2 linked regions of the Lonchura striata genome follow. The protein of the gene in region 2 binds, or shares a complex with, the protein of the main gene of each other region. Links are inferred from orthologs where the notes say so. Each region holds a gene or a part of one and is shown on either strand. Other genes may lie near its edges.

What was found.
Region 1: the proteins of ACSS1 (region 2) and SIRT3 are in contact, whole or in part, in a crystal structure (PDB 3GLT), measured with the Homo sapiens proteins. The link is inferred for Lonchura striata from reciprocal best matches to the Homo sapiens genes ACSS1 and SIRT3. Residues at the interface, in NP_115890.2 of Homo sapiens: Ser640, Gly641, Lys642, Val643, Met644, Arg645; in NP_036371.1 of Homo sapiens: Gly145, Ala146, Gly147, Thr150, Pro151, Asp156, Phe157, Arg158, Ser159, Glu177, Phe180, Gln228, Asn229, Ile230, His248, Ile291, Val292, Phe293, Phe294, Gly295, Glu296, Pro297, Leu298, Gly319, Thr320, Ser321, Leu322, Glu323, Val324, Glu325.

Annotation. Positions count from the first base shown.
Region 1 is NC_134608.1:53,251,190-53,265,508, reverse strand, and holds the start of SIRT3 (NAD-dependent protein deacetylase sirtuin-3, mitochondrial), read left to right. Parts: upstream 1-11,319; 5' UTR 11,320-11,410; intron 11,411-12,541; 5' UTR 12,542-12,686; coding exon 12,687-12,733; intron 12,734-13,001; coding exon 13,002-13,234; intron 13,235-13,351; coding exon 13,352-13,452; intron 13,453-13,699; coding exon 13,700-13,861; intron 13,862-14,181; coding exon 14,182-14,319. Other genes in the region: PSMD13 (26S proteasome non-ATPase regulatory subunit 13), read right to left, coding at 4,516-4,611, 5,344-5,460, 6,129-6,209, 6,923-6,985, 7,480-7,605, 7,692-7,771, 8,278-8,449, 8,982-9,068 and 5 more.
Region 2 is NC_134605.1:19,102,977-19,117,973, reverse strand, and holds the start of ACSS1 (acetyl-coenzyme A synthetase 2-like, mitochondrial), read right to left. Parts: upstream 7,719-14,997; coding exon 7,424-7,718; intron 4,234-7,423; coding exon 4,137-4,233; intron 1-4,136. UniProt on the Homo sapiens protein: Catalyzes the synthesis of acetyl-CoA from short-chain fatty acids. Acetate is the preferred substrate. Can also utilize propionate with a much lower affinity. Provides acetyl-CoA that is utilized mainly for oxidation under ketogenic conditions.

The sequences.
Region 1 (14,319 bases), on a different chromosome or scaffold from region 2:
AAGTGGATCTTGCCTTCTGTCCCGAGGCCGGGCTGAGCCTGAGCAGGCGGAGGGAGGCTGCTCCAGGGAAGGACGGAAGTTGCCCAACCGAGAAAGAAGGAAGGAAATCGCTTTTTTTCTTTCGTCTCCTTAAAAAGAAAAAGTTGGAAAAATGATCCTGGACACGCAGGTGTTTGCCCAGCTGAGCTGAGTGCCCGCGGCAGTCCCGGGGCTGCCCTGTGCCTGGGAAGGAGGAACTGAAAGAGGAAGACCAAGCTGGATGAGTTATATTCCCAAAGCCGCTGGCAGGGAGCCAGCGCACCCCACTGACCTCCCGTGGCCCCAGCCACGCTCTGACCCTTCCCCTCGCCTCTTTCCAGGGAGGACAAAAATTCCATCTGGACTTTGGCTCTGGCATGCCTTTCCAAGCCACTTCCAGCTGGTCCCATCCTGGTGGGTCAGGGAACCAGGGCTGGAGCTGCAGCCAGGTGCCACTGGGTGCTCCAAGCCACCGGCCCCGGTGTTCACCGGGATTATTTTATTGCCTGATCCAGCATTTAGAGGATTGGCATAACACATCTGTCCCGCACTGTAAATCCATGGAAAAGCCCCCATGGGTCAGTCCTGCAGCTGCCAATGCCCCAGGGACACCTTGGGGACACCCTGACAAAGGGCAGAGCTTAGCAGTAACACTCCCCCCTCTACTCCTTTGGTATTCCAGGGTCTAATCCCAGCTGGGCCCCAGCAGGATTCATTTCCCCTTTGGTTTGTTTCTCACAACCAGCTGCTGATTCCAGCACAGGCAGAGTCCATGACATGGGCAGGAATATCCATCCTCTGGAGAGCGGGTATCCATGGGGATTCTGGGGCATTGGAATCCCCTCCAGCAACCACCAGCACACCGGGACAAGCAGTTTCTTCCCCAGCTGATCCCAGTGGCAGGCATCCATCCCATTTCCTTCCCTTTATCAGAGGAATTTGGAAATAGCCTTTTCCAGAAAGTCCCTTCCCGCTGAATGGTGCTTTGAGTGTTAAAAAGTTTATAAAAGCCCACAGAAGAGGAGGTCCAAGGAGAGAGGAGCTCTGCTCCAAAGGAAAAGTTTTGCTCTAAGGGAAAAGGCCCCATCCAAGAGGAGGTCTCTGCTCTCCAGCAGAACATCTCAGTGCCCCCCTGCACTGGCTGGGGACAGTTTTTAGTCTCAGACCCCTGGGCAGTGCTGAGGGGGAAAAAAAAATCCCAAAACAATTAAGGGAAATAAAATTAAGCAGAGAGCAATTTGAGAAAACCTGTCAGGCTGTTCCTCCCTGTGCCTCTGGAGCTGTGCCAAGGAGTGGCAGGGGGTGGTGGCGGCAGTGACAGTGACAAGCTGGGCAGCTGCAGAGCGAGGAGCAGCGGGATCACCCTGAGAGCGCCATGAGGGGTTTCCAGAGGGGCTCCCAGCTCCTGGCAGCTGCACTCCGGATCAGCCGGGTCCCCCGGGCACAGCTCCGCTCCCACCCCCCCGAGAACATACTCTCCACTGGTGTGAGTATCCTGGGGGGCTGAAAACGTGGGAACAGCCCAGTTGGAGGGGCCCAAACATTCTGTGTGTCTGGGCCAAACTGTTTTGGAAGGGGGTGGAAGCAAAAGGGGAGGGGGAGGAAAAGAAGGAATGCACCCTCAGGTTCCAGCCCACACCCCCACGGTGTCCATGTCCTGCTCCCCCCCTTCACCGGCTCCTGCTTCCATTTGATTTTGTCCTTTCAGCCCTTTTTTAAACCTTTGAGGTCTGGGGGTCCCTGCAGCCCAGGGCAAGGGGCAGCAGTGACACTGGTGGTCCCTCAGGGCCACACCCAGACCTCGGCCCCTATTCTGGGACCATCACCCCAAAGGGGTGTCCCCACAGGCAAGGACAGGAGCTGCTGTCACTGCAGAGCCCAAGATCCCTCTGACATTCCCCCTGCGGGGACAGTCCCCCCCAAACCAGACCCTCCCAGGCTAGGTAAAACAAGCTGGGAAAAAGAAGTTTTCCCCCAAAATTATGCCTGATTCCCCCTCCACCCCTTAATTTGGGGTTTTCCCTCTGCTGCCTTTCCAAGGTCTTCAACAGAGGAGCTGCAGGAGCCTGGGAGAGGCTTTTTCCAGGCAAATAAATCAAAGGAAGGTGCCAGTGTGGGAGGTTAACGCTGTCCTGGTTGTACTGGGGAAATGAGGGGCTGCTGCTGGCTGCAATTCCCATCCCAAAGTCACCTGAAAGTCAGGAACACTGCAGGCCCCAGCCACAGCTTCAAGGTCAAACACTGCTCCAGTGTCCCGGAGGAGCAACAAACCTGGAGAGCACCAGCTCCATCCACTGCCAGTGGGAACAGCTCTGCTCCCCAAACCTCTCCCCACAGCCCCAGGGCAAGTGCCAAGGACTGGGAAGAGCACAGGGAAGTGAGCTGGGTGCCGGGTTGGACGGCAGCAGCGCAGCCATCCCGGGAGCCCTGTGAGCCATCCCACTGATTCCTGCTCCTTGTCCCCCTCAGGAACAAGCCATCGCCCTCACCCTGATGTTCACGTCCTTCCTGGTGCCCACAGCCTGGGTCCTGAGCAACATCTACAACTACAGGAGCAGGCCTGAGTGAGGAGTGGCAGGAGCAGCCTGCTCCCTGCTGAGAGCATCCCAAGGGCTCTTCCCTCGGGCAGAGCCTCACCATGGAACCCCCCGAGCCTGCTCATTAAAATCCATCTTTGCATTCAACAAGGCCTCACTGGGCTTGCTCCGTCCTGTAGGGAACGAACCGGACCTGTGCCTGCTGCCCTGATGGCAGCATTCCCTCAAGGGCTGCCAGCAGGTCCCAATGGGAAGGCACATTCCCTCTGGAGCCTCCACTAGCTGCAGCACTGCGTGCACCCAGGCACCTCTCCCAGCACAAGCAAGGAAGCCATTCCAAGGTAAATTCCCGGCAGGAAAACACCCAAAGGCTGGGAGTGACATTAAAAGGGTGCCACAGGCTGCGGGCTGCACGCCTGCCCACTCCCTGCCCTGTAGGAAGGGCCTCTCCAGCCACCACATCCCAAATGACCTGTGCCAGGGAAGCACCCAGCACGTGGAAGGTTTGGGTAGCGAGGGGTACTTCCAGGTGTCTTGGAAAAGCCTCTGGAGCTGTCACAGTTCTGCAGATCTGACCCTCATTCCCAGGAGCTGCTCAGAGCTTCACGGCCAGGGGAGTGCTCCCACAGCACGGGAGATGTGCTCCTGAGAGAAGCTGGTACTGCTTCCCACAGTGATATTCCAGATTTTGGATGCTGATCTCAAGCAGCAGCAGCCCCACAACTCAGTGACTCCAGTGGAGTTTCCTTTGTTTCCTAAGTGTAGTGACAGCCCTGGGAATGAGGATGAGATCTGACATGGCACTGGGAAGGAGACTCTGCTCCTTTAAAGCTTCTCCTGTCCTTACCTATGAAATAATGGGAATATTTTCCTGATTGGAACACCTACTTCTTCCATACGCTTTCCTGAAGTCACTAAAGTGGCACCAGGAGTAAGCCTTGGAAGACAGGATGCAGCAGGAATTGGTCAAGTCAAATCAAGTGGCTGGGCAAGGAAGAGGCAGGCACTGGGCACAGAACAACCCCTCCCCATCCAGGAGGGAATTTCAGCCAGAAGGGCCTGGAGAGCAGCAGGAGGAGGGTGAGCAGGTACAGACTCCAGCAATTCCATTTTGTCCTGTTTTTCAAAGTCTGTCTCCTTTGTGTGAGGCATCTCTGCACCAGTCTGGCATCAGCCACATGCTCCCTTCTTTTTCTTGCTGGATTAACACCCTCAGTCAAGGCAGGAAAAGCAGGAAAAGTACAAAAATTCCAGCAGTGACATTTGCTAATGACACCAGAGAACCAAACTGGTGAGGAAAGCTCCTGAATCCCAGGAGTGGCAAGGCCTGACCCTGGAAACACGTTTTTAAAGGAATTGTCATCAGCTCAGCTGCCAGGGACGGAGATGACACAGAATTCCCAAAAAGGGAAGGCAGAGACGTTTATTCCGGCAATGCCACTGCACCTCACTTGGGCACAAAGCGTTGGTGAAAGACACCCACCCCCTCAAGTGTATGGACACACCCACTAACCAGGAATCCCGGGAAAACCCTTGGATGGAGCAAACACTGCCTCTGCTGCAGATGAGGAGGGGCAGAGGGAAGCAGGGCTAGGGGAGGAAGAGGATTTGGGGAATGCTGCCTCAGGCTGCTGCAGGGGCAGGGGGAGAGGGCAGCAGGACAGGCTGTGTCCCCTAAGGCCAAGGCCCCTTGGATCCTGCACTAGGATCCCACCCTCCTACAGCAGCTGGAGGCAGGAGGGATCAGGAATGATCCATCCCCCCAGGACGCAGCTCTGGGATCAGGGATCAGAGTCACCCGTGCCAGCAGAGGGAAAGCTTGGCTCGAGCACCAAAGGGTCACACAGCGAAAGGCCACGTCCTCGTCCTCCTGCTCTGCCCACCCACCCCTCCATGGATTCAGTACAGTCAGTGCTCTGAGTGCTGCTGGCCTCAGGAGCAGCAGGAATCACTCTCTCCTCTATGTCAGGATGTCGTGGGCTTGGTGCTCCACCAGCATTTCCATGCTCCGCACGTCTGTGCACCAGAACTCCAGGCGATCCTTCATCCCTTTGATCTGCAAGGCAAGGCCACAGGGACAGAGTGCCTCAGTTCCTGGGAATGCCCACAGGCTCCTTCCCACACCTGAGAGCTCAAACCATCCCTCAGAGCCCCACACACTGAGACAGGGAGATGCCCCATCCCAGGAAGTGTTTCAGGCCGGGTTGGATGGGGCTTGAACAACTTGCTCTAGTGGAAGGTGTCCCTGCCCATGGATGGGCTTTAAGGTCCCTCCCAACCCAAACCATCCTGGGATTCTGGGATTAACAGCTTCTACCAGCTGGCCTAAACTGAAATGCACCAAAGGAATTGTCTGCAGCTGGAATTCCAGACACTGATTTTTGGGTTTGAAGGTAAAGACACCCTGCACAGTCTCCTTAAGTGTTACAAGGATGAACTTGAGAAACTCAACAGCTCCATTATACCTTGGCCTTCTCTCTTCCCAAGAGGACTGTGCCTCCCACACCCCTGAAACTCCCAGAGGTTGTTTCATGCATTTGGGAATGAGGCCTGGATCCTTCTAGAAAACACAACCATGGCTTCTGTGTTCCATGGTGTTTGTGTGGCTTTCACAAGGGACTGATGTGCCAGCCCTGTCCTGTCCCACCTCCTGGAAGGTTTCTGGGTGAAACATCGGGGGCAAAGCCAAGCCCCCAGGGAGGCTCATTCCCAAGCCATGACTCATCCTGGCTCTGGTGTCACTCCCAGGTCACCTCTCCCTGACCCAGCTGGATCTGGTGGCCATTACCTGCTGCAGGTCCAGCACCCGTGGCTGCACCCACGTCATGTGCACCCTCTTGTCCACCTCGTCGATGCTGCCCTTCACCAGCCCCACCGAGAGCGCCTTCATCACCAGCAGCTCCACCTGGGGACACAGATAATCCTGGGAAATGACCCAGACCACCCCATTTTCCCTGAGATTAATAAAACTTGGCATCTTCACATGAGATCCCCTCAGAATCCAGGGCAGCAGCTCTCCCAGCTGTCCCCTTTCAGGTGACAGATCTGCCTTGGGACTCAGCACCTTGGCAAAGAGGAGTTCTTCTCCCTAAAACTGGATTTTAGGGTTTTTTTAGTTCTTTTTCCCCTAAAAAAACCTAGAGTTATTTTCTTTTCTCTGAAATCTAAGGAAGAACAAGGCAATTGGAAAAAGCCAGAAGAGCCCAACTGTCCCCAGGCAGCAGGTGGGAGCTGGTCTCTTCTCCCAGGGACCAAGTGACAGGACAAGAGGAAACAGCCTCAAGCTGCACCAGGGGAGGTTCAGGTTGAAAATCAGGAATAATTTTTTAATGGGAAGGGCTGTCAGGCACTGGAAGGGGCTGCCCAGGGAGGTGTTGAAGTCCCCATCCCTAGAGGTGCCCAAGGAATGACTGGATGTGGCATTCAGTGCTCTGGGCACAGGCTGGACTAGATTATATCAGAGCTTTTTTTCAGCCTAAATGATTCTGGGATTCTGTGTGGTTCAGGTCTACCCAGGCACTCTCAGAGCTCCAGAATCTGGACATTACCAAGGGTGCCTAACCCCAAACTCACCTCGTTGACGGTGACTTTGGCACTCTTGGCAATCTCCTCAAAGGTGAGCTGGCGGTGGTTGGCTGGACGGGTGAAAGTCATCTGGATCCAGGGAACAAACCAAAAAAAAAACAACCCCCACAGGGTTTTAGGGATTCCCACAGCTCACAGAGCCTCCCCCAAGCTGCCCTGCCCAGTCTCACTCTGCACTGGAAACTGCATTTCTCATGTTTATCAAAGTAATTCAAACAAGAATGTTTTACACTAGTATGGTGACAGCAGAGCCTTCCAGTGACAGGAAGGGACTGTTTCAGATTATCCATCAGGGAAAGGACCCTCAGTCCCTCAGGGAAACAAAGGTGTTGAACTCTGTTCTAAAAGTCTTTTCTCATCCTGGAACATACTGCAGACACCATCCCTGAAGGATTGCTCTTCCCCTCCTCCACATCACAGAATTAACATCTTCCACTATCTCAGGTTGCTCCAAGCTCTGTCCAACCTGGCCTTGGACACTTCCAGGGATGGGGCAGCCACAGCTTCTCTGGGCAACCTGTGCCAAGGCCTGACCACCCCCACAGGGAAGATATTCTTCCTAATATCCCACCTAACTTTCTGTTAGAGAAGCCATTCCCCCTTGTCCTGGCACTCCATGCAAGAGCCCTCCCAAACCTAGGGACAAGCAGCCCAGCATGAGGTGTTTTCCCTCATGGCACCTGCCTGTGCCTCCATCACCAGCTCAAATCCACACTGAAATTCCTGTATCCAGGAGTTCCTGCAGGTGAGTGACCAGACACACTGAGCACATCCCAACTCACCTCCATGAGACACAATAGCTGGATCTTCTGCAGCAGGAGTGCTTCGTTTGCAGCCAGGTCAGGCTGTGAGGAGAGAAAAGGCACCAAATCAGGTCAAGATTACATTTTTCTCCCCATCCTGGGGCAGAACAGCTTTACATAGAGGAATAAATCCCTGGGAGAGTTTATTTAAGAGGAAGAAGGCTACCACAGCCCACCCACCAGCCAAGAATGGTCCCAGAAAACAATCCAAGTGCCAGTGAACTCACAAATCCATTGCTATGCCAGTGATTCCTGGTGTTGCCAGCGCAGGTAACATCCAACATCACTGTTTCCCCCCACACTTCCCAGAACAGGAAGGAAAACCACTGTTTTCCACTGGAAGCACTCCAAAGAGAAGTCAAAAGAAAACTAATTATGTGTATCAAGATGGAATAACCACTCCTAGGCTCCGAACAGAATTGTACCAGTGCTCCAGAGCCAGGAATGAGGCAGAGGTGATTAAGAAAAAGTCCACAGACTCCAAGTGTCAGGTGGAAATCCCAAGCCTGAGCCTTTAGCAGTCCCAGAGCCCTCACCTGCTGCCCCCAGGCTGACTTGAGGGCCTGAAAGGTCTCCACATTGCCGCTGTTGAAGGCGAAGAGGGTGTCAATGAGCCACTGCCGGTCCGTGCTGCGCAGGGACTCCAGCACTGGGTGCATCAGCTGCAGGGGACAGGCAGGAGGGTGTCAGCAGGGGAAAAAAACCAGCTCCTGGGGCTCCAGGGATGAAGGGATGTGGCAGCACTCACCAGCTCCCCAAAGTTGTAGACGCCTTCTCCCAGCAGCCCGGCCAGCCCCAGGGTGAAGGCTCTCTCCTGCTGCTCTGATACTGGAAGAAAAAAAAAAACAAAACCAAAAATAATTTGGATGAAAAAATACCCAAACCAAACCCACTACGGATAAAAAATAAAACCAAAAGTAATTGGGATGACAACAAAACTCAAACCAAAAATAATTTGGATAAAGCACCACTTCAAGCTCTATCAAGCCATCCCTCACCTACATTAAACTATTCCCAGCTCTCATCTTCCCCCACGGCGCCTGAAATTCAGGAGCCTGCAGTAACCACAGCACAAAAGGGCTGCTTTTTTAATCCAGAGTGAAGATTTTTGGGAATTGGAACAAAATTGTACTTCTGGCAGGGGCATTCCCCCTCTTCCTCCCAGTACAACTCAGGAGCAGGTCCTTGGAGGTCACTCCTCAGTCCAGCCAGACCTCAGATCCACCACAGCACAGCCAAAACGACACAGAGGGAAAACCTCAGCCAGGGCATTTATTTGGGTTGGGGAATGCAGCGGAGTGTGGAAGGTGGGATTAGCCCTGGAGAGGAGTTACCTGGCAGGTCCTTGACCTCGATGCAGCCCAGGAAGCGCAGCGCATCCTTGTAGTAGGCGGCGTGGTTCCCCACGGTCTGGTAGTACTTGCTGGAGAGGTCGTAGAAGCGGCTGTGCACTGATGTCACCCCGGGCAGGGTGTTCAGCATCTCCTCCACCTCCTCGATGGTCTCCTGGGAAGGACAAGACCTGGCTCTTACAGTTCCCAGCTCTAAGGATGGCAACCTCCCCAAGGGATCCCTGGTGACATCCCAGGCAAGGCCACCATCGCTCCCACACCCTTCCCTGTGAGGAGGGTGCTGAGGCCCTGGCACAGGTTTCCCAGAGAAGCTGTGGCTGCCCCATCCCTGGAAGTGTCCAAGGCCAGGGCGGAGCAACCTGGGCTAGTGGAAGGTGTCCCTGCCCATGACTGGGTGATCTTCAAGATCCCTTCCAACCCAAACCATTCCAGGATTCCATCACCCAAACCCATCCCTCTGCATTTGCTCTAGGAGACTCAAAGCTGCCCTACCTGAAAAACATAATTTTGGGGTTTAATAGATGGTTTTAAAACCAGCCTAGGATGACAAACCCCATGTGCTTGGGGCTCAGGCAACAACACCACCACAGGTCCTGGCGAGCTCAAAAGTCCCTCAGGACCAGGAGCTGGGATAACCAAGAAATGCCACAGCACCCCAAAACTCCCCATCCCAGGCCACCGCTCACCTTGGTGACCTGCAGGTCCCCGATGTTGAGCTTGAGGGCCCCGATGGCTGTTTTGCACAGGATCACAGCCTCGTCACTGCTCTTCACCTGCAGGGACACAGGGACCTGTTCAGAGCGTCACCTGCAGCCAGGTGTGCTCCAGGGGCTGGACAAATGCCCCTTGTGACCATATTCCTGCATTCAGATTCCTGTGGAAAGGTGTTGCTCTCCAGCACAGGTGATACACGTACCAGTGACTCTTGGCTTGCTCAGAGGCAAAACTCACCAAGAGCAACTTCCAACATACCTTTTCCCGGGTCTTCTCCAGAAAAGTCAGGGCCACATTGGGATCTGGAGTAGAGGGAAAAACAGATTTAAATGAGCAGCTCTCATGGAGCTAAACCTCGCTTACCAAGCCACCTTTGACAGGATTCCTGATGACTGGAATATGGGTTTTCCATGGTGTACCCTCAGCCTGCAGCAGCTGCTGCCAGGTAAGCTGGCCTTTTCCCCACCAACCACCTCTCCAGAGAAGCTGTGGACTTCCTACTCCAGGAATCATCAATAACCTATGCTTTCTAAGCCAGCACTTTCCCTTCCCGACATAGCAGAAGCACAACACCTCCCCATCCAAGACTGGCCCATCCCTGGCCACATTCCAGAGGTCACAACAGGACAGGGAAGAGGGGAGGACACGCACCTGTCATCTGCCGCACCACGTGCAGGATAATCTCCACCAGGGACAGGGGGTTCACCCTGCAGAGAGCAGCTCAGAGTCAGCACAGGTCCCTCATACCCCTCAGGTGACCCCAAGCCCCTCCAAGTGACCCTCAAGCCCCCCCAGTAACTCACCTGTGCTCAAACTCGCTGATGAAGTTCTCGTAGAGCTGCAGGGACAAGGACAGGGACACTCATGGCAAAGGGCACCCGGGTTCAGAGCTCCTCACCATGTTTCCTCTCTATTCCAGCTCATTTGAACATCCCTGGAAGTGCTGGGCAGGGCTGTGAGCCAACTGGGCTAGTGGAAGGTGTCCCTTCCAGGGAGGGTGGAACATGATGGTCCTTGAGGTCTCTTCTAACCCACACCATTCAAATACCTCAATCCTATGATTATTCCAGAAAATCGGGCATCCCATAAAGAAAGTCCAGCACTGTTCAGAACCCGGAACTGCTAATTTTATCTAATTCTATCCCCATAAGCTTCTTGCAATGAACACCCATCCTGCACTTACTAAAATATGGAATGAAAAAAAAATCTCCTTGCAACTCCTAAAGATAATAAATTTAGGTAAGTGAAGTAAAGAATCACTGTGAAGCTTCTGAACCCAAGACATTTAACTTTAGCAGAATTTCCACAAAGCAGCCAGTGCAAACACCCCCGAAGCTGAACCCACAAAGGTCAGTAATCCTCCAAGAGAATTAAGAAAGAGAGAAGCCGCAGGCTGAGTTTTCCCTGGTACAAAACACCAGGAAAGCTGGGAAGAGTCGGCTCACCTTGATGAGCCCATCTCCCTGGGCGAAGCAGGGGTCCTGCACGAAGTCCAGCACCTGCAGAGTGAGCTGGTGCCACAGCCTGGGGACACAGAACAGCCCCGTGAGCCGCCGTGCCACGGCCCGGGACGCGCCCGGCAGCGGCTGACGGGGGCTCGGATCGGGGGCGAGCCGGGGCTGGAACCCCTGACAGGGCAAACACCGCCGGGTCACCTCCCGGGCGGCTACCGAGGCGGCTCAAGGGACGCGGGCCCGGGCGGGCCCGGCCGCGCGGGGCTCCGGGGCCCGGGACGGGCGGTCCCCCCGCACCCCGTCCCCGCTCACTTCTTGTTGTAGAGCTCCTCGAGGCGGTGCCACACGGCGGCCTGGCCCGGCCCCGCGCTCTGGCTCTGCTGCAGGAAGCCCGGCACGTCCTTCATGGCGGCGGCGGGGCCCGGACGGGGCCGGGGCCGGGACCGGGACGGGGCCGGGACCGGGGCGAGCAGGCCGCGCCGTGCCCGCTGTGCGCACTCACTTCCGGCCGCGCAGGGCGCGCCGGGTACCGTAACGCCCCGAGCCCGCCGCCGCCGCGCACTCGCTTGGCGCCGGTCCCGCCGCGCCCCGCGGTCGCCACGGCAACGCCGCCGCGCCGCCGACCGCCGGGCCTTCCCCCGCCGCCGCTCCCCGCGCCCGCACGGCCGGACCGAGCCCGGGCGGGGTGAGCGGCGGCGGGGCGGCGGGGGCGCGGCGCGCGCGCTCGCGGCAGTGCGGTAGCGGCCATGGAGCGCGGGGCGCGGGCGCTGCTGGCGGCCGGTGAGCGCCGGGCGCGGGGGGAGCCCCGGCACGGCCGGGCCGCCCCCAGCACCGCTCTGCTCTCTTGCAGCCCGGAGGAGCCTGTGGCAGCGCGGGCCCCGCCGCGGCGGCAGCGCGGCACGGGGCGGCGGGCACGGGAAGGGGCCGGCCGGCGGCGGAGCCGGGAGGTAGGTGGGGAATGCCCGGCTGGCGGCTGGAGCATCCCTGCGGGACGGGAGCGTGGGGATCGGGGCTGGGATGGGATGTGCTCCCGTGATGGAGGATGGCCCGTCCCCGTCTAAGCAGGGACAGCGCGCTGGGAGCCAGGGCTGGCCTGAGAGCCCGGAGAGCAGGGATCTGCCAGGGAAAGCTCAGTATTTTTCCAAGACTGTGAGTTCAGCTCCCCGGGAACCTGGTCTGGCAGGGCAGAGCCGTATCCTTGTGACAGCAGCTAAAGGCAGTGCAGGGACACCTCCCTAGGCAGTCAGTGTCACACATCCCAGGGAAGCCAGTGTTACATCCCTTGGAAGGCAGAGCCACATCCCTGTGACAGCAGGCTAAGGCAGTGTCACACCCCTGGGAAAGCAATGTCATGTCCCTGCAAAGGGACAGTCACATCCCAAGGAAGGCAGAGCTGACCTCTGAGGCCTGGAAACACTTCCAGCTCTGTCCTTGTTCCTCGGGCTTGCCAAACTCTCCTGGCTCTCCCCATGCCTGGTCTGGACTGTGCACAATGCCATGCTCCAGCAGCACTAATTTTCTGGGAGAAGCTGTTCCCTGCTGATAATGACTGTTCGGGAACTGCTAATGACTGTTCCCATATGACAATGGCTGTTCCCAGCCCAGCTGGGCACAGGGCTGTGATTCCTTTGGACAAGGACACACGGAGCCCAAGGGGGGAACAGGGACATGATAGTGTCTGTCACCTTGCTCACCTGGACAGGGTGACACATCACCCTGAGAGAAACTTGTTGAACTCAGGATACAGGAGGGTCTCCTGGATCCCAGGGGAGTGTAAATCAACACTGGGACTGGGGATTCCCAGTGTGTGGATCCAACCTTGTGTCCATCCCTGTCCAAAAATACCCCCTCACAGGAGGGCTGGTGACTTGGTATTTTAGATCCACATAAGGAATTGCTGAGGGACACGTCTGCTCCAGGGTTTAGGTTGGACTAACAGCCAAGCTTTCTCCCAGTGAAGCCCGAGCGCAATCCTGCCCAGAGAAGAGCTTTCTGTGGAATTTTTGGGTGATTCTTCCCCCCTGAACCAAAGTCACTGTCAGTTCTCTCAGTGCTGTGCTTCCTCCTGTGCCGAGCAGGACCCAAGGCTCCAGGCCCTTCTGTCTGAGCACAGCTGCCAGAGCCATTTTGGGCTGGTGGGGAGGTGATGAGGGGAAGCAGAAGCTCACCTTGAAGGATGTGGCCGAGCTGCTCCGGAAGAAGGAATGTCGGCGTGTGGTGGTGATGGCCGGCGCCGGGATCAGCACGCCCAGTGGCATCCCGGACTTCAGGTGATGCCTCCATCCTGTGTGTCCTTGGAGGGCTGAGGTTTTGTCCATGGAAAGGGTGATTAAACATTGGATGGGGCTGCCCAGGGAGGTGCTGGAGTCACCATCCCTGGAGGTGTCCTAGGAATAACCTTGTTGACAAGGTGATGATGCATCACAGGCTGGACCCGTTGATGGTCTTGGAGGTCTCTTCCAACCTCATTGATCCTGGGATTCTGTCTCCAGCCCAGATCCCACTGCAGCCCCTCTCAGCTGCCCCCTGTCCCCGCAGGTCCCCCGGGAGCGGCCTGTACAGCAACCTGGAGCAGTATGACATCCCCTACCCCGAGGCCATCTTTGAGCTCGGGTATTTCTTCGTCAACCCCAAGCCCTTCTTCATGCTGGCCAAGGAGCTCTATCCCGGCAACTACCGCCCCAATTCCGCCCACTATTTCCTCCGGCTGCTGCACGACAAGGGGCTGCTCCTGCGCCTCTACACCCAGAACATCGACGGGCTGGAGAGAGGTGAGCTCCCTCTTCCCATCTCCAGCAGCAGCAGCAGGAGTTGAGGGGAGAAGCAGGACTGGGGACATGCACACAGGGAGGCATTGGCTCAGTCCTTTCCCACACATTGTATTCCAGTGGCTGGGATCCCTCCTGACAGGCTGGTGGAAGCCCATGGCACCTTTGCCACTGCCACCTGTACGGTGTGTCAGAGGAACTTCCCCGGAGAGGACTTCAGGGTGAGTGGGCCCAGACGGGCACCAACACAATTAACACAAGGAGGCATTAATTATTACAGCAATGACAGGTCTAAACCTGCTCTTTTGCCCTTGGGGACAAGAGGTTTATGGAGGGGACCAGTTTGGGGCTGGGCATTGCTCTGAAGACATGTGGTGATTCTTAACCCCTGTGACAGGCAGGTTTGGGGCCTCTCTTTCAGGGGGACAGGGTCCCTTTGACAGGCAGTTTTGGGGTCTCTCCCTTCAGGGAGATGTCATGGGGGACAGGATCCCTCGTTGCCCTGTCTGCACCGGAGTTGTCAAGCCTGACATCGTGTTCTTCGGCGAGCAGCTCCCGCAGCGCTTCCTCCTGCACCTCACAGATTTCCCCATGGCAGACCTGCTCTTCGTCATCGGGACATCCCTGGAGGTCTGGGAATAAGGGAAAAACTCACATGGAAAACAGGGCCTGAAGGGACTCCAGAGGGGAGAGAGGGCTTAGAGAAGGCAAGAAAATGGGTTAGGGAGGTGAAATTTGAGGTGGAGGGTAAGAAATAGGGTGGAGGTGCTCTGAGAGACCCTCTGGAAGCCAGGTGGGCACCTGGAGAGCTGAGGAAAGGCCACCGGGTGACTGGTGGCACTGTGACCAGTTCAGAGCAGGGGGGGCTGAGCGGTTCCAAGCCGAGAGTGCTGGGCACTGGTGCCCCTGGCAGGGTGACTGTCCCCGTGCCCCCCGGGTTCCCTCCGCAGGTGGAGCCCTTTGCCAGCCTGGCCGGAGCCGTGCGCAGCTCCGTGCCCCGGGTGCTCATCAACCGGGAGCTCGTGGGCCCCTTCGCGTGGCAGCAGCGCCACAACGACGTGGCCCAGCTCGGGGACGTGGTCGGCGGC
Region 2 (14,997 bases):
CCAGTTCCTTTTACATTAAAAAAAGTTGCATCAAGACCTTCTTTGGGAAGCAGCCTTTTGCAAAATTATTCTAGACTTTTTCTTAATACATTCAATGCCATACACAGGTTTTGACAGTACCTGGTTTTACCTTAGCCCAAGCCATGTTCTCTGCTGTCATGGTACAAAAGCTGGGTTGAGTATTTCTTGCAGCAATCAGTTTATTTCCTGGAACCATAGTTTGGATTAGGCTGAAACTGTTTGAAAATTCAGGTCAAGTGTCCAAACTGGGCATTAGAGCACAACTGCCCAGCCTTCCTGCAGACATCCTGAACCCAAGACAAGGGAAACCCCTTGTAACCTTTTTTAGGTGAGAAAGTGAGAAACCCATGAGCTGTCTTGGGTGGGGAAAACTGCAAGCCTGGGTAAGATGTACTTGCAAACTCAGCTTACAAAGGCAGCTCTGGAAAAGAGTTTTGCTGCCAATGGTAAGTATCATCATGGCTTCCAGCTACACTCTTCACTGTGATCTCTAACACAATTTCATCTATTTTAGCTCAGGCTGAGGAATCCATTGGTTTTTTAAAGGTATCGCTATCATGTTGCTCATGAAGATGTCCAACCACTTCTCTCCCACCTACCTAGGACCCTGATTTCTGGTCCTTTAGCTTTCCTCTCTCCCTAGTTTGTCTTTTGCATTTTGAGCTTTCCCTCTGGCAACAATGTTTTCTGCACCAAAGTGATCCTTCTTTTGAGACCTGGAACCCTTTTGAAAAACAGGTTAGCTAAAGCATTCTGCTGCCCAATTCCCATAGCTCCCACTGACAACAGCCGTGAGATTTTGCAGATCCACTGGGTCACAGGTGGATAAACTGTAAACCAGGGAACACCAGAGAGAATAAATAACTCCACATCAGAGAGCAGGAGGGCTGGCATAACTTTAGCTGCTGTCTTCAACACCTCCTGTCATTGAACTTAGAGAGGCTGCAACCCAACAGCTCTGGCCACTATCTCCACCTGCTTTTAGAGGGTACAGTACCTTTAAAAACCCAGGCTCACAATGCATTGGGGAATTCCTCTGCAAGGTTTCAAAGGCCCTGAGCCCTGACAATATCCACAAAGCAGGACAAAACACTCCTGGTCTGGTTGGACCCTTCTGACAATTAATTCAGCTGTCAGCTCACAGCACCACAGTGCTGCTAAGCCACTGCCCTACCAATGAGCTTTTGGTGGCTTAGCCTCAGGAGAGTCAGAGAGCCTCTTGATAACTGATTTGCATGACCTGTCCCCACTTTGCTGACTGCAGCCACCAAAGCCCAAGAGGGTTGTATCCCCTGTTGTTACAAAGCAGTAAAAAACAAGTCTCTTGCCTTCCCATTCAAAACCAGAGATAATTTGAAACTCAGCTAAATTTCTACCCACAGGGAAGAAGAAGCAAGAATGGCCAGTGAACTTTTTTTCCTGCAAGACCGAATTGCATCAGCTAGAGAGATAGGACAAAACTCAGCAATGAAAAAAGTCATCACAACCAAGCTTGTAAGGGCAGACATCATCTCCTGGTGCAAAAATAAAGTGTTTCACCTATGGCTTTGGGTATCTTTGCCCACCAGCAGATGTTCGGATTCTTCCCCTAGCATACAGCACTTGAACTCTGGTGCACAATTACAACCCACCTTGCTGACAAGTGTGCACAGGGATGTGGGTTGACTGGATGGCACAGCCCACCAGCTCTTTGCCCACAGCAGAGGCAAACTGAGGCTTTTATTTCTGCCAAGGATGAGCCAGCTGGGATAGCACTTTCCAGTGCAGCTGTGTTTCCTGCCAGTGCATGGAGGACATCCCACCGATGAAGGTTTTTTTTCCTGTTCCAGCCCTCTTCCTGCACATCCACCTTCTTCCTTTGCAGGCTGCAATGGGAACAAGGCCAGCACTCAGCTGTTTTCTTGTCCCTGACAACTCCCCAGAGGAGAAGGCAGAGGACCAGGCCAGCAGCTGCATCTTTCCTTGTGTTGCCCAGGGTTTATCTTTGAGGAGAAGCAGCTCACAGCAGCAAGCTTTGCAGAGTAGATAATGCAGAACGGTGCCTAGCAATGTTGCACATAAGCCCTGGACAGCTCTCTCCCAGCTGTATCCACGACCTCACTCGAAGCTGGTCCATAAGACAGAGCCCAAATTAAAGTCTTTGTTTTCCTACAGTGCTAAGTCCTTACTCTAAGGCCACTGTGCCATTAACAGGGCATCCAGATCCTAAGGAAAGAGGCATCTCTGTTCTGCCAAGACATGTCCAGCATCCCTCTGATTCCCCCTTTACTCTGAGGCTGTATGTGCTACAGAAGACTCACCAAGGACCACCAGCATCCCAGCTCCTGGGCCACTTCCTTCTCTGATTTGCTTTCCCTCACAAAACTTCTAGCTCAAATAAGGCACTACTGAAAAAGGTTTTCAACTAAGTTCTATCTCAAAGGGAAGCTAATGCTAACACACTGTAGGAAAAGCTTTCTGACCCATATAAAACCTGTAAAAATGCAGCCCAAAGACCACAGAAAAGGCAAAATACTCAGAGAGTACCGCTGCTTTCAACAAAGCTATTCCTGCCTTAATGAGATAAGCAGAGAACCAAGTGACCTGTATTACCACGTGGTAGGACCAAAGTCTCTAGAGAAACTCAAATGCAATCACATCTGACCCACAGTATCAGGCATAAACAGAAACATGGCTCTCAAATACAGACAGAAGCTTGAAAATAGAGATTGCCATACGTCTTTCACTTGGATGTTCTCCTTTCTGATACCAGTTACTGTATCTCTGTAAGGCTGCACAAAAAAGGGTTCAGTTTTCAGATATGGGTTACTTGTTTTCATGTCACAGCAATCACAATTCCACAGGCTGAAAATATACTTTCTTCCAAACGCACTTGGGCATGGCCAGGGAAAAAAAACAGTCCTGTTGCTGTTCAGAAAGGCCGTCCCTTATCTCCAGAGATTGCAGATAAGATGTTTGAGCGTCTGCAGCAGCTCAGTACATTTCAAGTAGCGGCCTAAGGGGGAGGTTAGAGCTGCCTTGAATAAGGCAGTGCTGTCTGTTGGGTTGCTTCTCTTGTCATGTTGATCTGAGCACAATTGTCACCTCTTTCTTACCCCTTGTTTTCATGCCTGAGGCATAAAGAGAGAGGTAAAAGTGCACAAACCTGGGAGAAAAACATACCATGCATAAACTCGGGGAGAAACCTTTGGTTTCATCTCCATGTTTACCACCAGAATGGCAAAATGCAAAAGCACTTAGACAAGCTACCCAGATCATTACAACATATTTATATCATAACAGGCCTAAGCACCCTGCCAAATAACAATACCAAGATAAAAAACAATGCACTCCTTTCATAGATTTATATCAGACAGCGTTTCTTTCTGTTGCATGGAGCACTAACCTCTCAGAGTTATTTTTACACCCACTCCTCCCTGCTGACCACTTTCCTCACTTGAATGAATAATGCTACCAGGAGCTTTCATAAATTTTGGAGATGACTCAGACCACTAGAACATTTTCAGACCCAAGGAGCTCTAGGAACCCCAACAAGTTGCAGAAAACATTCTGTAAAAGTCTGATGCTAGGGACATTCTTCATCTCCTCTGCTTTATGATCTAGCAGAACAAACATCTGGCTCCTTGAGATTCAGCAGCTCAAAGATCTGGCTCCCTAAAACATGCACTGAGGAATGTACAAGTCTGGGAACATTTAAATCTCACTAGAGACAGAGATGATGTAAAAGGCAGGACTGTCTCCTAAACGAGGGCATATAGCAAGGAGAAGAGAAATATGCTTAAACCTGCCCTACTCTAACAAACTGTGCAATCTGTAGCATCAATTACATATCAGTGTCAATCAGAGCAGTCTCAAAGTTACTCTGAACTGCAGTGAGGATGGGAAAGAGAAACATGGAGAACTTAAAATCCCCTCCAGCCAGGACTCAGTATCAAGCTGTTTACTAGCAACACAAGACATTTGCACCAAGATGTTTGCTATTCTTCTGAAACCAGAAGCTACTCACAGAAATTTTCCCATGTGTATCTCCAGCAAGCAAAAAGGAAACTGCTAGGTGGAAAAATCCCATTTCCTGTGTCCCCCACACTGCCAGGCATAGTGAGAAGGTGCCATACCTGTATGTGACATGCACTGCAGTGCCAGGTTCATCTCTCTCCCAAATCAAAGCCACTCTGTTTGGAGACTTTTCGACGTGCTGATCCAAGCAATTTACTGTAAAGAAACCCAAAGGTTTAAACAAAGCCTGAACATATGAAAGGTGCTTTGTAAACCTAGCTTGATCAAGTGCAACAGCAAGCAAGTGCAAGATGAAACATCAGTTTTTGGGTTGCTTGACACACACTAATGTATAACAGAGGAACAGGCATTTGCAGCTCCAGTAAAGCTATACAACAAATTCTACATTTAATTGGCACAGTGGCCTTAGAGATGGATACCCATGAGAGGCCATGGCAAATTCAGGTATGGGCTGAATTCATGGCTCAATTCAGCCATTTAGCTCCACTGCCTAAACTTAAGCCAGCCCAAATCTTTCCCTTGCTCCCAGCAGCACAAAGGCAAGATACCCTTTTGATGTTTTTTCTCCCCAGAGCAGCATTTCACTACAGAACTCGGACAGTCTTCCCCAGCTGGCATATTTAGCACTGCACCATTTGGATTTTCTAATTAAAGCTCACGTGAAACATTTTGTTCCAGGGTATAACAAAGAGCTGAATCTCAGCTAATTGAAAATGTCTAAAACTGTAGGATCTATGGTAAACTAGAAGTTCAGACATCTACAAGTTATCAGACACATAGGAAGATTAATGTGTCTCAGGCTGTGTATTCCATCTCCTAAAATTTAAAGGCATAAAATTCCCTTTTAAAGGTGCATTTCTCCCCCTCAGCATCTTGAAGTGGAGGATGTAGGGAGAGCACCCAATCTGAAGAAATGTATAGAATCCACAAAAGAAACTTGCCTGCATGTCCAGTAGCAACTTGCCTGATAGTCAGAGAACATCCTTGTTAAGTACTAACTCCAAGTCTACATGACACTTACTTATTGCATTGTAATCTTGCAAAGGCAATTACTTTATTTCAATAGGCAACTAGTCAGGGACACTGCTGTATAACTCAGAGAAAACCTTTTTAAAAAATGCTGGATTTCAAATCATATTTCCTGGAAATATTAATACTGATGGGAAAGGATTTCATTTTTCCAGATATATTTAAAAAAACTGTGTGCTGTAGTAGCTTTGGTTGTTCTGTGATCACACCATCACACGGGATGGGAATGAGCCCCTAAAGGTGCACAGAGGAAGTAATTCCTCAGAGTTTAACACATTTTATTGCAAGACCAAATGTTAATCTCAAAAATTCAAAAAAGCACCAGCTGTTTACAGTCTTTTATTTTTAATGTAAAACCCTGCAGCAGTACTATAAAAATAAGACAAAGCCATTTCTTAAGCCATCCTAATAAGATACAAGAGGACAAAAATCCTAGTGGGGAATTTTTAAGCAGTTATACACTAATTTCTTCTACCTGTGTTTACTGCTGTGGCTTGGTTCACAACAAGTAGCAACTCCCACCTCCAGGCTCCTCACAGCTACACCCTCGCATACTGTGCCATGCTACAGTGAATCACAAAATGGCATTCATTGCCCAAACAACTTTTCCTACTCATGAGCAGCCACACTGGCCTTCAGAGGGAATTTCTGCTGCAGGAAGCCCTGGCTGAACCAAGTAGGAGCTTTAGCTCTGCGCTCTGTAAGAACCAGCAGGTGAACCAGAGCCAACTGCTATTATTTCCTTCCTGATCTTAGGCTTACATGAGTCTTTTGCTCATTTTACAAAATAGAATTTAGTGACCTTTCCCTTACTACTACACCCTAGTGGCTTCTCAATACATTTTCTTGCTTCCTTGACTGCTCAGAAACAATTAATCTCAGTAAGACAAGTTCCTGAGAATGTGTCCTGATGGGAAATGCAGTTTGCCAGGTTATTCTCCTGACCAGGAGTACAGTGCAAGAAATCCAGAAGCCCTTAAGCTCACAGGTCCACAAAATCCTACTGCAAGGGCTCTCAAGCAAAGAACATCAGATTACTCAGTTGCTCACGGTTCAGCTGTGCTAGGAGACATGCACACATGATGCTCTGGATAAGGGACCTGAACTGCTGCTATGTTTCTACACAGACTGTGTTCAAATCAAGAGGTGAAAGGACAAAATCACAGTCTCCTAACAGAAAAACAGCCACTTGGCTGTGGCAAAGTACTGCCTTAATCACGCTTGAAAAGAAAACCAGCAACAGCAAACCTGTTTAATTCTGTGCATCTGTTTCAAAGGTCTATGATTTCCTTTTATGTATGAAAAAAAAGCTAAGTGGCATTTTCTGTCTGCTGAGGAACCAGACCCAAGGCCAAGCAATATCTGAATATCAAAGATCTGGCATGAGATCCAGAAGAAACTGTTGATCCCACACTACAGAGGAAAGAAATAGATCCCTGATAGGCTGTGCTCAGACAAGATCTTCCTTTCAACAGGAATTAATGACAACAAAATCCTGGCTAAAATCCTCTGATTGCTGATTGCTGGGCACAGGGCTGTACAAATATCTCCATAAGTTTGGGATCCACTGCCGGGCATCACCCACCCCCAGGGTGAAGACACTCTCTTAGGCTCTCTGGAAGACCTGAGGAGGGTTTCCTCTTTTGGCTGTCAAACAAAAAGTGGCCAGAGATGTTACAGTTACTGCACTAGTGAACCAGCGTCCTCCCCGAGGAACAGGAAATGAAGGTCAGAAATGTTCGTCCCTGTTAAAAGACATCACCACTGAGTGGTACCCTGGATGGGGCTGGGGCTCACTCCCACCGGACAAAGCACAGCCGCAGCACACAAGAGCCTTCAGGGCAGACACGGCATGGACAAAACTCAGATGCACTCAGGGCAGCCACGGCAAAATTCACTCGTTTCATGTTGAGAGGTGAAATTGGAGGAAAATACCAAGATCCTCGTTAAAAAGAAAAAAAAAAAAAAAAAAAATCCCTGCCATAAAAGTCTGGGACCGTTCCCCACCTGTGGATCATCCTCAGCCACCACGGGGCCGGGCAGCAGCCGGCAGAGCCCAAATTTGGCATCCCATCCCGGGGCCCATCTCCGCAGGTCGAAGGGCGGCCGCCCGTGAGGTAGTGCCCGAGCAAAAGGCTTAGCCGGGGTTATCCCAGCTTCGGATTTTCTCCCCGTTTCCAGCATTTCGCAATTCCTGGCTTGCTTCCTCCCTGCGCCGCCCAACCGAAATCCTCGGTTTTACCCCCAAAGACGGGCGATGGAGAAACTTCGCCCCGCGGGTCGCCTCCCGCCCAGCCCGGTGGCAGCCGCGGGCGGCCCCGCCGGGCGCGGGGGATGCGCGGCCGGGACCCCTTACCCGAGACGTTGAGGCGGCCGCCGAGGAACCAGCGGGCGGAACCAGCGGGCGCTTCGGGCTGGCAGGCCGTGTGGAAGGGACTGTCCCAGCGCAGCCACCCCCGCGCCACGTCCGCCCAGAACCCGGCGGGGTCGCGGGCCGCCCGCTCCCGCCAGGCCCGGTACTCGCCGGGCGGCAGCGCCCCGGGGGCGCCCGCGGGGCTGCAGCAGCTCCGGGCCGCCGCCGGGACCCGGCCCGGGGGGCGCGGGCGGCTGAGGGCGCGCAGAGTCCGCGCTCGGGCGGCCGCCAGCGCCATGGGCACACAGCCCTGCGCCGCTGTCCCCGCCGCGCCCGCCCGAACCGGGAGAACGAAAGGGAGCGAACGGGCGAGCGAGAGATAAAGACCGCCTGCGGGGAGGGGCTGCCCCGGCGGGGCGGCTCCGGGAGCACCGCAGCCCGCACACACCCCGTCCCCGGGAGTACCGCGCAGCCCGGGAGCACCCCGCACCCAGGGACACCCGCACCCCGCATACCCCCCATCCCCGGGAACACCCCGCACCCAGCGACACCCCACACCTTTGGGAGCACCCCGGCCCCAGGGACACCCCGCACCCCGGGAGCGCCCCGCGCCCGGGGACACCCCACACCTTTGGGAGCACCCCGGCCCCAGGGACACCCCGCACCCCGCGAGCACCCCGAGAGATACACCTGTACCTGGAGAGAGAGACCCAGCACTTTCCCCTATGGGGTTATCACCTGCACGGATGTGCGGGCCGGGGTGCACCCCTGTTCACATCCTCACCACCACAACAGGTGTGCCCAGGTACAGCCAGGCCTTTTAACATAAAAAGCAGCTCTCAGCACACACACACGCTGTCGTATCTACAGGCGGTGCCCAGCACCACACACCCGGACACAGCACAAAGCAAGCGCAGTGGCACGATCCTCATGCACAGACAGTACTTGTGCTCGTGGGTAGGTGGCAAACACATTGTGTCCTTGTACACCACTATCCACAAAGCTGTCATAACCCTGCCCCCTCTGCTCAAAATGGGGTGTCTATAAGCGGGGTACACATCCTATCTTGGCAGCCATGTGAGCACCATCATTATCATAATGTGGAATTCCTGGCTTTGATATCACAGCACTTCTTCCTCCATTTTAATCTACGGACCAGACTTCACCCTGGCTTCATGATGCAAACCCTCAACAATGAGTAGCAGGGTTTTACAGCAGGTAGCACAGAATTTATTCCTTGTCTATAGCAGAGACATGACCTTTTCTGGCATAAAGAAATGAATTATTTTAGACACCTTGGTCCAGCTTCCCAGCATGGAGTCTAAAAGCTCAGAGTGGCATGGTCTGAGCATCCTTAAGAAGTGCCAAACTAACAGAGCACAAACTCTACTCACCCCCAGGGTTTGGGTAGGCAAAGCACATTTCGTGTTCAAGATTAAAAGCCTGAAATAACTCTAAATGCTATGAAGCTTCTTCTGGCAGTGGTAGAAACAAACGTTGGTCTTCTGTTCTAAATATATCACCAGGTGCTTTTTTGTGATTTTTGTGTGAGATTTTCTGACACCACTGATCCTTCCACTGTGTTTTATAGGTAACAAGCAAGAATAAATACAATTTTAATTTCCTTGTAAAGCTGGCATTAGTACATGGCTGCTGTAGTTCGATATCACTACCTTGGGTTTTGACTGTCACTTTCGGTTTGCCCTAGCTCTAAATTCCAAACAGCAGCACGTGTGCCACCTGGTGCCAGACAGGGGCACGGAGAGCACTTCAGCTTTCACTTGGTTTGCCCAAGGATTGCTCAAAAGTTTTATAACAAAGATGACTTCTGTGTAAGTCCTACCCCTTTCAGGATTTCAGAGGAATGCTTTTCACGAACAAACAATTGAGTTGTCAAAAAAAGAAAGCATGAATTTAAATTATTTGGCATTAAAGCTTACCTGCTTTGTTTGCACACCTTGAAATATGGGAGCACTTCTCGGGCTTTCTTCCACCAAGGCTGATTCTCCTTTTCTACCATCAGGTTTTGTTTTACTCATGATTTACCAAAACGTCCCCTGCTCTCAAATTTTGTCTGCCTTTTTCCTCAGAGAAAACCATAGCCAGCAGTAACACAACCCAAATCCAGTCTGATCACCCCACTGAAATGGGTTGCTGAACCCAAGCACAAGCCCAAATCTCCTTCCTTGCCTCAAAAATAGATAACGAGAGGGGGAAAAGTGTCTCTGAGATTTTGCAATGTCTACTTGTTCTACCCATGACTTCCTGAACAAGAGAGTGAAGTCTGGCACATTAGACTATTGACTTTTTGAGAACCAAGGAGTGTTACAGCATTTCTCATTTTTAAGTATTTTAAGTGTGCCAGGAAAAGCTGGTGATGGATAAAAGGTCACAGAATTGCTTCCCACATTCACTGTGTCTCTCTCCATTCTTAGGGCCCCCTGGCATTATGGAGTCCCAACAGGAATGCTGGCATTTCCAGCTCTGGAGAAGCCTGGTGACTGTCATCTGGAAATACCACCTCTGTGTGGCAGCTTCCAAAGGCATGTGGTTGCCAGGGCAGAAGAAATAATTCCCTGATGCAGCCAAGCCTCCTGGCACAGTCTCCCAGACCAGCCAGGCAATCTCACTGCCCTGCAGGAGATTTTAGCAGGTAATGGGCACAGCTGCTGAATAGCTGCAGATCTTGGCCTGGATTGAGAGTCTTCTGTGCTGGTGTCATGGCAGGCACTGATGAGCAATGCCAGTAGTGGGTTGAGTAGGGGCTGAGATTTCTGCTGACAGAACTACAGCAAAAAAACTTTAAAAACCAAAACCCCAAACCCCCCAACTTTCCACATCTTTCCACTTACTTGCCTTCTCTTCGATTGCTGTCAATATATCAAAGACCTACTCAATGAGGTCTATGTTCCTCAATTGCTCACCCCACCACTCTTCCCCCCACCCCACACCTTCCCCCGTTTTCCCCTTAATGACCTAAAAAGAGGAATAGTAAAGTTGTGGAATCCACAACTTTCACTTGGTTATCACTGATGTGCTCCTAACTGTCCTTTCTAATGGTCTTCTCACATGCTGTGAACACAGTTGATACCTGGCTCTACAAAGAAAGTCAGGGCCAGGCAAAAACCCCACCACAGAGCAAAAGTACACACTGGTCTGTGTTAGAAATTCTCCCAAGTCACAATTAACCCAGATTTTAATAAAATCTTTTGATCATTTTCAGCTACATTTCTGCCTGCAGATTAAATTGGACATGTTCCCAGGTGGCTGTTCCAGCAGGTTTCTAAGCCCATTCAGCTCCATCTGCAGAAGAGCAGGCTTAGAGGGAGGTTTAGACCAAGGATGAAATAAAGCTAAAATGCAGTTGCTCAGGTGCCACTTTAACAGATGAACATGGACCTTGTGTCCAAAGCAATGGGAACTGCAACAGGTTTTAAGGAGCTGAGTACCTGAGCTAATCTGGAAGGTGAAACTTTGTCAGATATGCTCACATGTGGTCGCACCTGAAACAAAGGTCAAATCTGTGTGAAAAATGTAGATCTGCTGCACTTCCATTTATGAATGTGTAATAAATGCCCAATGAGTGATAAGGGAGAAAAACAATACTTAATAATATCCAGATAACTAGACTGCTTTTGTACAGGTGAGGCAACCAGCTGTCCCATTCTCAAGAGTTTTCTGCTCAAGGCTGGATTTCAAACCAAGGGGATTCAGTGCTGCTGCTGCCATCCATCAACACAGAACTTCCCCCCCAGTTTGGCTCCTCTCCTGCATCAGCAGCCCACACTGGGTTTGCTATGTGCTTTGTTCCAGAAAGTTGTTGCTGAATCTCCACATCTCCCCTTAAGCAGCACTTGGGGTTGCCCAGCCTGAGGATGGACCAAGGCTCCAGCATCTAATCCTTCCATTCCCTCCAGTTTGTACCATTGCTCAATCCAATTTACTGCTGGGTCTGTGCTTGGTGCTCCAGCAGCACTGTGAAAGAGAGATCTGAAGGATACTGAGAAGTAAAGACAATCTCCTGGGGAAAACCATCTCCCTCACCTAATTTTGGTTTGCCCACTTCTTTTGCCTCTCCAACTCAGTGAACCAGTGCTTGAGAATACAAGTGGTGGAGTCTTGACCTGCAGCACAGAGAGCCCACATGGCAACTGCCAATCATCTCTCAATCATATACCTGAAGTAACAGGAACCTTGGAATGAGGTGCACCTGCAGGTGTCTTAACCCCTGGGACTGCAGGATGAGCTCCTACAGGGCTAGAGATTCCCTAGAGTCTCTGTGGAATGTTTCCACAGAGCAAGTCCTCAATGTAGGGGGCTCCAGCCAGTGGAGGAACATTGTGGGGGCCTGGTAGCCCTTTTCTCCCTGAACTGAGTGGCTGGGGGTGGCCAGGGTTGTGCTGGGTCTGTCTTGGCACAAGCATGTCTGTCTTGTCACAACAAATCTCCTCTTTATCACCCTGGCCCCAAGGGACTGCTTTGGTTGGGGGGAAAATCTTGGCAGGGAGGTATGTCCCACAAGGGATGGGGGAGCACAGCAGCCCTGTGGAAGCTGGTGTGACATCCCACTCACAAGACAAATGAGAACCTCCATCTATGGATCAATACCAGGTTGGATCTGACAGGGACACTCTGATGGGGACAGGAAGAAGGCACCAGTGTGTTGCAGGGAGGGCCTGGCAGCAGTGTCCCTTGCAGTGTGGTTTGTGAAGGTGTATAAGGCACAGAACAGTGCTCATCCACACTTTGGGACAGAGGCATGAATATGGATGATTTGCAGTGAAAAGGGAACAAGAAGGCACAGCCATAAGTATTGCACAGCTCTGTAGGAGCCACGTGCTTATCTGTTCTTCAAGTACAATGTGATTCGCAGTGAGCTGGAGCAGGGAGAAAGGCACCTCTCTGGAGCAGGGGCACAGATGTACCCCTCAGATGTAGAACAGGGAAAGTGCCCAGGGACAGGCTGCATGCTTTTTTTGGGTGCTGCACCCAGCTGTGAGCTGCTGGGTTTTGTTCCCAGCCCTGGCAGGGCAAGACCTGGCTCTGAATGGATGTGAGATGGTTCTGATCCTAGTGGTGCATTGTCCCAGCCAGTGTTGATGGTGCTGGTCCTGGTCCCAGTGTAGTGTCCTGGCCAGACTGGTGATGCTGCCACTTGCAGTGCAGTGTAATGCACCAGTCCCTTGATGGCCCTGGCCCCAGAGGACTGGAGTAAAAAGCTGCAGGTCAGCATTGCTGGGCTGACTCCACTGCCAGGACAGGGCAGCAAGGGCTCACAGTGGTGACGCTGCCAGACCGTGTGCAATGCAAAGTCCAGCCTCAGGCAGATGTGCTGGCTCTGGCCTTGGTCCCAACGGTGCAGTCACCCGGCCCTGCGAAGACTGTGCCAGCGCTGGCCCCAGTCCCAGGGCAGTGCAGTGCCCCGGGCCGTGCTGGCGATGCCAGCGCTGATGCCACCAGCGCGGAGACGAGCACCAGTCCCCGTCCTGGCAGGGCCCGCGATTGCGATGGCACTGCCGATGCCGGTCCCGGTCCCGGGGCGGGGCAGCGCCGTGCCGCTCCTGTTCCCGGTCCCGGTCCCTGTCCCACGCCAGTGCGCTTCCCAGCACGCGGAGCGGCGGCGCGCTGCGGCGCCCAGCCGCATGTGCCGCCACTCGGTGCCCGGTGCCTGCTGACGGTGGAGGCGGGCCTGGGGCGGGCCCGGCGGGGCGGGGACGGCCCGCGGGTGATGTCAGGCTGATGCTGTCGGTGCGGCGCGCGGTGCATTGTGGGCGAATCCCGCCGCCCGCCGCGGCTCCGAGAGGGAGGATGCGCTCGGGGCAGGCCCGTCCCACAGCCGCAGCCGCAGCGCGCCGGGCCGGCGGCACCGCGCCCGACGAGCCGCACTGAAGGGCGTGGGGCATGCGCTGCCTGCGCCGGCCGCAGCGGGAGGCGCCGGCGGCGGCGGGGCCAGGTGAGCTGGGCCGGGCCGGGCCGCGCCGCGGCGGGCACGGGTGGGGAAGGGAGGGACGGAGCGACCGTCCCGCTGGCGGCCCGCGAGATGCGGGACCGGGGACCGCACCGGGCCGGGCCGTGCCGGGGCTGCGCGCGGGGCACTGCGGGAGCTGTAGTTTACCGCCCCACCCTGTGCCTCCGGCCGAAGGGAGAGAGTCCCGCGCGCGGGACTCGGGTTCCCAGCGTGCCCATGGGGGGTGGGCGGGCCAGCGGCGGAGTGACGGCCCGGTGCCACCAATGAGAAGGTGGGCCGGGTGAGGCGAACCAACTGCCGAGAGGGGCGGTGAGGAGTGGGGGGGCGGCGTGCCGGCAGCTGCAGTGCAGGGGCGGACGCGGCCACCTCCTCGGCGGGGGGAGGCGGGACGGCCCGAGGTGAGGGCAGGGCGGGGCAGGGCCGGGCCGGGCCGGGCCGGGCGGGGCCGCACCTCGGCGCCGCTGCTGCCGGGCCCGGGGGTCGCGGCGATGCCCGGGGCTGCCGCCGCGGGAGGGGCGGGCAGTGGCCTTGCTGCGCTGTGCACGGCAGGGGCGGGGGCGCCCCAAGCCCTGAGAGGCTCCGCCGGAGGGAGCGGCCCCGCCGGGCGGTACCGGGGGACGCCGCCGCCGGTCCCGGTGTCGGGCGGGGGCCCAGGTGCGAAGGCGTCCACGGCCTTGTGCCGGGCCGGGCTCTAGGGGAAGCCACGGCGGGTGCCGGCCGCTTCAGCAGGACATGTGCCGCCCGGGGCTGGGCACGGCACCCTGCCCGGGGCCACCGGCTGCCGTCCGGCCGCACGGGAAAGCCAGCCCGCCCCGTGGGGCTCTCTGGGGAGGCAGCGCTTCTGTGCGGTACGGTGGGATAACTCCGCGGTGTTCGGGTTTCAGGCAGGAGGCTGAGACTTTCTCCTTTTTGGCGGGGTGGAAATGGTGCTCCTGTGTGCGTGCTGTGTCTCCTGAAGCTTTGGGGCTCAGAGTCTCCTGCTGTGGTGTCCGTATTGCTGGTGGCGCCCGAGCTGACATTGCTGCATGTGTCCGTAGTCGTGCTTTGCCTGCGTTCCAGGAGAGGAGGTATCCGGTAACCTGGGGCTGACCCACTGAGGACTCTCGAGATGAACACCATGACCTTGACGTGCATCTAGGATTTAACAGGGAGCCAGAATGCTGCACGAAGCACTGAAGTCACACTGTCACTCTGGCAGCTACTTGCATGACAAGTTCAAGACCCACTGTGTGTTTTGAGGGATGGGGACTTCAATACCTCTTGGTATCATGTTTCTAAGCAATTCAAACCAGGCCTGAATTTTCTTAGGTTTGCAAGGTGGTTTGATTGATAGAAAGAAAGGTTTCATTATTCTACCATTTCACATGGATTTCTTGTAATGTCACTGAAAATGTTGCCTTTCAGCAATAAACTTCTCAATGAGTCACAACTAAAATTTTCAGCCTGGAGACTTCTTATGAGTGGAATTTAGCTTCCTGTTGTGGTGTGCCACAGGGTGTGCTAATGCTCCCTCAGCTCGTAGGTGCTGTGGTGCTGTGCCTGTACAGGTGCTCTAACTGAAGAGCATCAGTCCTATCTCATGAGTGTCAGTGTGTCACCACATTCCAGT